Canis lupus familiaris: one gene and its partner. The protein of the gene in region 1 purifies or fractionates together with the protein of each later gene. This does not show direct contact. Links are inferred from orthologs where the notes say so. Each region holds a gene or a part of one and is shown in the gene's direction. Other genes may lie near its edges. The genes, in order: STK11 and COPS4.

Region 1 (4,315 bases):
CCCCGCCCAGCCCCGCAGGCTCCGCCCGCTGGCCGGCCGCGTGGCCCCGGGGCCCCCGAGCCCAGTCCCCCGGCCCGCGGGCGCGCTGCCCGCCGCACAGCCGTTCCCAGGCGGCCGTTGTCGCCCACGACCCCCGCCCGCCGCCCCGCGCCCCTCCGAGGCCGAGCCGCCGCAGCGACTCCCCGCGCGCCCGCTTCCCGCCAGCCCCGCCTCCCCGTGACGGGCGCCTCGGCGGCCCAATGAGCCGAGCGGTAGCCGCCCCCGGGGCGGGGCCGAGGGTGAGCCAATCCCCACTTGGGCGCCCGCCTGGGTCCAAACGGCCCAATCGGCGGCGGCGGCGGGGCGGGCCTCGGGGGCGGGGCCTGCCGCCTCAGCCAATGGGCGGGCACGCCGGCGGCGGCAGGGGCGGGCGTGCGGCGGCGCGGCGGCGCAGGGCGGGGGCGGGAGGTAAACAAGATGGCGGCGGCGTGTCGGGCGCGGAAGGGGGAGGCGGCCCGGGGTGTCCGCGACTGAGGCGGGGCGCGGGAGGCGGCGGCGGCGGCGGCGGCGGGCGCCGGCCGGCTCCGCGGCGCCTTGCATGGGCTGGGCCCCCGCGCCGCCCCGCCTGCTCCACGCGCGCGGCGGCTGCGGCGGGGGCGCTCGCCGTCCGGGCCCCGGCGGCCTCGGGAAGCCCCGGCCCGGGCCTTCGGCCTGCGCCGCCGCGGCCGCTCGGAGCCCTCCGGGTGCCCGCGCCCCGCGGCCCGCGGCCGGCGGCGTTCGCGGCCGAGAGCGAGCGCGGGCTGCCGTTTGGGGCGGGGGGCGGCCGCTGCGGGGGCGCCGGCTCCGACGGAAGTTGCTCCCCGCGGCGGGAGGGCCCCGGGCAGCCCCCCGGCCCCCCGACGCGCGCCCGGGGCTGGCGGGGGCGGACGCCGCTGCGCCCCGCGCCGTCCGGAGAGGCGCCCGCCGCGGCCTCGGGCCCCCGGGACGGCGGGCCCCGCCGGGAGCCGCCCCCAGCAGCGCGCCCGGCCGCCGGCACCGCTCGGCTGCGCAGCCCGGGGCCCGGGGGCCGGCGGGTCGCCGCGGGGCCCTGTCTGGGCGCGCGCCCCGGCCCGCTGGTGATGCCCGGCCCGGAGGGGACTCGGCCCGGCCGCAGCGGCGCTCGTCCGAGGGTCTGAAGTCCCTGGAGGATGACCTAGCGCTCGGAAGCCCCACCGGCCTCCGGAGGGCCCCCGTGGACGCGCCGGCCCGGCCCGCAGCCGCGAGGCGGGCAGGCACCCAGACTTGCGACGCCCCGCGCCCGCGGCCGCCGGGGCTCCGGGCCACGCGCGCCTCTTGAACTCACGACTAGTACAATCGTTTCTTTCCGGACAGGGGTTTTCCTGTTTTTTTTTTTTTTCGATTTTTCCTTTTTTTGCATTTTTGTTGACTTTTTTTTTGGGGGGGGGGAGGGAGGGTTTGTTTTCGGGCCTTTTATTTTGGAGAAGGGAATTTTAGGGGGACAAAAGGAAGAACCGCGCACCAGGGGCAGCAGATAAGGGAGATAAGGGACCGCCGGCCACAGTCGGAGGCGCTGGGTCCAGAATGGATGTGGCCGACCCGCAGCAGCTGGGCATGTTTACGGAGGGGGAGCTGATGTCCGTGGGGATGGACACGTTCATCCACCGCATCGACTCCACGGAAGTCATCTACCAGCCCCGCCGCAAGCGGGCCAAGCTCATCGGCAAGTACTTGATGGGAGACCTGCTAGGGGAGGGCTCCTACGGCAAGGTGAAGGAGGTGCTGGACTCGGAGACGCTGTGCAGGAGGGCTGTCAAAATTCTCAAGAAGAAGAAGTTGCGGAGGATCCCCAACGGCGAGGCGAACGTCAAGAAGTAAGTGTGGACTTCCTGGGTCGTTGCGCGGGCAGCCAGCAAGGTCGGTCATCCTCCCCCCTTTCCTTCTTGCTTGTTCCCGTTCCTTAAACTGTCGAGGTGCCCGGGCAGCTCCCGTGTCCTCCTCCCCAGGGCAGGTGTTGTTGGGAACCTGCTCAGGTACCGTGCGGCGAGTCAGGCCAGCTTGCGGCAGCTGGGTGTCCCCTTCCTTCCGATGCTGGCGTCCAAGCCTTTTCCAGATGAGGGTGCGTCCCATCCCCCCCCTTCACCCTCCCAGCTGTCGAAAGAATTTAGGTGCCCAGTGTAACCAGCCAATGTTTATTTGGCTCTGAGAATTTGTGTTCCTAAACGGCCCTGGCCACCACCAGCAGGTTTTCTGCGCAGCGCAGCGTGCAGCTGTTACTAGGGCCAGGCGAAATGCGATTTGTTTACCCTGTTGGAGGGGAGCCCTGCGGTTGCCAAAAATAATTGTTTGCCCTGGCTTATCGGTCAGCAGGGGGTAACTCAGCCTTTTCTTACTCACTTGGGATGTGACACCAGACACATCCGTGACTGCAGGCCCAGGTGACTCCCTGGGAGAGGAACCAGATTGTGTCCTGGCAAACTTTTTACCCAAACTTCTTCAGGCGCGTCAGCCCCTAGGCGTCGCAGAGGTGTTGAAGTCTGTGCTGGAGTCTCCCCAACCCCCAAGGATGGGGCGGGGGGGGGGGGTGCGTCTCCATCCCTCTCGCTGATCTCAGGAGGGGGCGTCCCTCCTCATGGCTGCCACCCACTGGGTCCCCGCCCCGCCTGGGCTCCTGCTCCTCCCAGCCTCCAGTTTCCCAGAAGGGGTTTATCTCTCGGGCCAGGCAGCAGGACTGACGACCTTGGACGTCCCTCCAGGCCCATCCTGGAAAGTGCTGCTCCCCTATCCGCGTGCACCTCCCCCTTCCTGGCCGGGTTGGCTCTCACGCAGAAGCTGAGCTGTGTTCCCTCGCTCCGGGCTGGCTTGGGTCTGGGCGTGGTGAAGCTGTGGATGGAACGGGGAACCCAAACCGGACTGGCTCTGCTGTTGATGCGCAGCTGGCCGGGGCGGTCGTCTTCCCGTGCGGTCCGAAGGCAAGCCTGGCGGTGTTGTGGCGAGGTCTTTTTATCCCTAGTGACCTGAGGGATGCTTCATTGGTCGCCCAGCCTGTGGGCGCCGAGAAGGGATGGCCGGGTGCCCTGGGGCCAGCCTCTTACCTGTGAGGTGGGGTGGGGGAGACTGAGGCAGGTGGCAAGCCAGCACCCCCTGAGGTCCAGGTGACCCTCACCTCCAGTCAGAAATCCCCATTCAACCCCTGGCTTCTAAGTCCTGTTGGCTCATTAAGCCAGACGCACCTGGGAGTTATGTGGCCTCGGGCTGCCTGTTTGCCACCCTTGTGGGGTGGGGGACAGTGAGCTCCTGCCCTGGAAACAGCTCCTCCCCCAGTGTCCCAGGTCCACCTTGGTCCTCCTGGCTCCTCTTCAGTCTCATCCCCTGATATGTGTGGGCAGCAGGGTGCCGGTCCCTTCCCTGCTAGTTGGAGGCAGCCGGGTCCGTGCAGATGTTCGGGTGCTGGCTCCTTTGCTCCGTGCTGCTGGGGCTTCCCCAGACCCCAGCCTTCTGGGAGCAGCGCCTCGAGGTTCCCAGAATCCGTGAGTCCCGTTCAAGGGCTAGGGCTGGGTTCTAGCACCAGTTGACCTGTGGCTGGGGCACCCAAGCCCACCCTGCTAGTGGTTCTGGGGCGGCTGGTGGCAGCAGAGTGGAGCAGGCCCCAGGACTCTGCGGACCCCTGTTGCGGTGGACACATGCCTGTCTATGCTGAGGCACAACGTACCTGTTGTGCGGGCACTCGGTCATGACGCGCGGTGTGAGACTTGACAAACGGCACACACCCAGGGTCAGACTGCCACCTACAAGAGTTCCCTGATGCTCCATGGAGACACATGACCAGAACCTGACTGGGGGGTTGACGGGCGCTGGCGTCCCAGTCTCTGCTTTCCTGAATGGTCAGCAAGGCCCCCAGAGCTGGTGGAGACATCTGGGTGTGCAGTGTTGGGGCTGCAGGGCGCTCGGTCCTGCAGTGTCCATCAGAAGAACCTGAGGGGAAACTGAGGCCTGGCAGGTGCAGTGTTGGGAGTCCCCAGCTGGCTTGGCAGTTGGCATAAGGTGTCACAGTGGTAGGGCACTTGGCCCGTTTCATCAGCTCAGGACCCGGCTTTCATGAGAAGGAAAGGGGTGTCCTTGCAAGAGGAGGTCTGGGCTCCCGGGTCAGCCTTGCTGCCAGCCGGCTGCAGGGAAAAAAAGGCTCCTTTGTCTTCGAGAGGCTTAATAAACTCCAATTGCTTTTTCCCAAGTGAAGTGTCCGGAACCTTCCAGACAAGCCTCAGGAGTCCCAGCTTGGACTAGAAGCTTTTTTTAAAAAAATGACGTCTGTGATCAAGTTTGGGGGGAGGCTCAGGAC
Region 2 (3,809 bases), on another chromosome or scaffold:
AGACTTTTTTTTTAAAAAAGATTCATTTATTTAAGAGAGAGAGAGAGCATGAGCAGATGCCTGTGCCCAAGTGTGAGGAGGCGCAGAGGGAGAGAAAGAATCCCAAGCAGACTCCCGCTGAGCATGGAGCTGTCCAGGGCTCAATCCTACAACCCTAAGATCATGACCTGAGCTAAAATCAAGTCAGATGTCAGATGCCCAACCGACTGAGCTACCACTAGGCACCCTGAAAGTTGACTTCTTAGTTTAAATTCAAAACTAAAACTTTTTCAAGAAAAAAATGGTACATTAGATCCAATAACTTAGAGTTACAGATTCACTTTCTTGTGGGGGGCTTGAAAACTTTTTTTTTTTTTTTTTTTTTTTTAAGTAGACTATGCCCACAACATGTTTGGGACTTGAGCTCATAACCTGCTAGATCAAGAGTCTCATGCTCTACTGAGTAAGTCAGCCAGGTGTCCCCAGGCTTGAAAACTTTTAAAAAATTGTGGTATACTGTAAAGAAAACTAGAAGTGATCCTTTAGCATTACAGATTTAGTGTTTTTTTTTTTGTTTTTTTGTTTTTTTTTTATGATAGTCACACAGAGAGAGAGAGAGAGGCAGAGACACAGGCAGAGGGAGAAGCAGGCTCCATGCACCGGGAGCCCGATGTGGGATTCGATCCCGGGTCTCCAGGATCGCGCCCTGGGCCAAAGGCAGGCGCTAAACCACTGCGCCACCCAGGGATCCCAGATTTAGTGTTTCTTGTGATAGACCAGGAACTTATAACAAAAAAAAATCTGTGCTGTACTATAAAGAAAATAATAAATTAGATCAATGTGAAAGAAACCAGGATAAATAGAAATGAATAAACATCAAAGTTAGCCTTAGTGTCCTCTGAACATTATTTTTATTTGGTATTGTTTTAGGTATCGTCAGATCCTGGAAAAAGCCATTCAGTTATCTGGGGCAGAACAACTAGAAGCTTTGAAAGCTTTTGTCGAAGCAAGTAAGTGGAATGAAAATTCCATGTTTGCCTTGTATTATTGAGTTAGGACTTCAAAGCTTGAGCAAGCTTGTTTTATATCAAATTACCAATATAATTTGCATTGAGATTAAATTAAATATACATTGAAATTGATTTTAGAATTTAAACTATTTACCACTTGATTTTTTTTTTTTTTAGTAAGTTGTCTTCAGACTTACATTACCAATTACCAATTAAGGTTTTGTATAGCTATTGATATAGTAACTGATGAAAGACAATATAGCATAATGGTAAAGAGAATAGTCTAGATTCAGTCTGGTCCGTTGTTTTATTAGTTGTGTATTCTTGGGTAAGTTATTCCTTTGTGCCTCCATTTCCTTGTCTATAAAATGGGGATATGATAACTACCTGGTAGAGATGTTAAATGAGTTAAATGCGGTTAAATGAGTTAATATACATAGTAAAGTGCTTTAATAGTACCTGGCATATAATAAGTGCTACATAAGTGTTAACTGTTGTTAATATTAAGAACATTCCATTTGAATGGAAACTACAAATTCCTGTTCTTCAAGACATTCTCATCTACTTCTTGACTTTAGACATATCCAGTTATCTTGAAAATTACTCAAAATTCAGGCTGGAATTGATACTGAGTTAATATTAATGACACTTGAGAGTGCTTTACAGTCTGTAGTGTGCTTTCACACACATTATCATCATGAGAAGTGCTAGTTTGTGTAGTAATTTCTAACAATTATAAGTGCCTAATGGTACTTACAATGAAACTATTTTCTCAGCTGTATCCAGTATTATCCAAGAATGAATTGTGATTATTATATCATAAACTGATTAGAAGCTTGTTACAGGTTATTGTAAGTTACTGCCTCAAAAAATTGGGGCCTGCAATGTGTGATGAACTGATAGTGACTTCAGAAAGACTGTTAGGAATAGTATTATTGAGAATATTACATTGTAGTAGCAAAAGAATAGTGATTTTTATTATAAACTTTGATTCCGATGAACCACGAAGAAAAGCCGTCTACTGAAAATCATTTATATCAGCTGAACAGGTTTTGAATCATCATTTATTTTCCCAGTAACTGCCGATCTCAGACTTAATTTATCTGAGCAGTGGTCACAAGCATGATACCTCTTTTAAAATATAGTAATAGTGATAATAATAATGAACATTTGTTGAGTACTTTGTGCAGCGTATTGTTTAAAGTGTTCTATAGATAGTACATTTAAGCTTCACAGCAGCCTTATCCACAATTTACAGATGAGGAAACAGAAGCACAGAGAAGTTAAGTTTCTTGTTTGAGGGTATCTGATCAGATGCAGTGGAAGTAGCATGGCTTCAGAGCTTTCATCCTTAATCACAGATAATAATAAAAACTCATAAATGTTTATAAATAATGTCATTAAATATGTCTGTACATCTAGTGCTGACCTCAGTTCTCATTTGTTATATTTTTATTGGAAAAGTACAAGTGGCAGTAACTGTCACTATTTGTTTTATTTAAATTTCATAAAAATTATGTTTCTTCTTTAACTCCTTTTTGTAACTAGGTGGGATATAAGTATGTAAATAAAAATATAGGTGTTTCTGTGCCTTCCCTTTATAGAAAAATAAGGAAAAATACAATATAAAATTCTCAAATGTAAAACAAAACTTTTCCCCAGTGATTTCAGTTTTTTAGAAAAATTGTGGGATTTTTTACTGTTTTGGTGTAGTCATTATGTAATCAAATAATTCAGCATAAGGAAAACTGATTCTCTAATATAAGATGATATGGGTCTTGAAATCCCTGAATAATACATTGAAAGTTGCATTAATATATATTGTTTTAATATTAATTTTAGATAAAAATTTATTGCTTAGTGAAAAATTATAAATTACTCATGTTTACTTATGTCTTATCTCTTATTCTTTTTTGACAAGTGGTAAATGAGAATGTCAGTCTCGTGATCTCTCGACAGTTGCTGACTGATTTCTGTACGCATCTCCCTAACCTGCCTGATAGCACAGCCAAAGAAATCTATCATTTCACTTTGGAAAAGATCCAGCCTAGAGTCATTTCATTTGAGGAGCAGGTAAAAATCTAGAGCTGTGATTTTTGAACATGAGATAGCAGCAGTTTTTTGGAGAGATATTACCATATTTTTAGAGAAGATGATTATCCAGTCTTATTTTTGACAACAGTGTGCCAAACAGCATATTACTATGTAAAAATAAATATTACGGTGTTATAACTCTAGCTGATATTTCCTCAGATATTACAATTTGATTTATGAACCAAATATTACTCTTTAGATAATTTTTAAGAATCAGTAAAATTGTTAATAAGGCTATAAACATAGGAAAACTCCAGCATTATATGTGCAGTTAACATAAAAGGAAAGTTTAATATTTATACTAAATTCTTGCTATAATCCACATTGCAAGAAATGTGTTTTTTCAGTTCAGTATTTTGATATTCTGTGAATGCAAAATTCATTTAAAAAATAATTGGGGTGGTCTAGTTAAACTTGTACTATTTACATGCCAGCTAAATATGTTAATTGGAAGCATTATTACAATAGATTAACTTAGCATCCATTTATTTTAATTAGTCACTAATGTCAGTTGAAATAATTTAACATATCCACCTCTTATTCCAGGTTGCTTCCATAAGACAGCATCTTGCATCCATATATGAGAAAGAGGAAGATTGGAGAAATGCAGCCCAAGTGTTGGTGGGAATTCCTTTGGAAACAGGACAAAAGTATAGTAAATAGTAGATATTGGATGGACATGTATATAGGCTATGTATCACTGTTCACTTATATTTTTTTCTCACA

Evidence for each region.
Region 2: the proteins of STK11 (region 1) and COPS4 purify together in Homo sapiens (affinity purification with mass spectrometry; 4 studies listed by BioGRID and IntAct, with this or other methods). This does not show direct contact. The link is inferred for Canis lupus familiaris from reciprocal best matches to the Homo sapiens genes STK11 and COPS4.

Annotation. Positions count from the first base shown.
Region 1 is NC_049241.1:58,056,895-58,061,209, reverse strand, and holds the start of STK11 (serine/threonine-protein kinase STK11), read left to right. Parts: upstream 1-1,422; 5' UTR 1,423-1,560; coding exon 1,561-1,850; intron 1,851-4,315. UniProt on the Homo sapiens protein: Tumor suppressor serine/threonine-protein kinase that controls the activity of AMP-activated protein kinase (AMPK) family members, thereby playing a role in various processes such as cell metabolism, cell polarity, apoptosis and DNA damage response.
Region 2 is NC_049253.1:33,023,976-33,027,784, reverse strand, and holds part of COPS4 (COP9 signalosome complex subunit 4), read left to right. Parts: intron 1-909; coding exon 910-989; intron 990-2,910; coding exon 2,911-3,062; intron 3,063-3,629; coding exon 3,630-3,733; intron 3,734-3,809. UniProt on the Homo sapiens protein: Component of the COP9 signalosome complex (CSN), a complex involved in various cellular and developmental processes.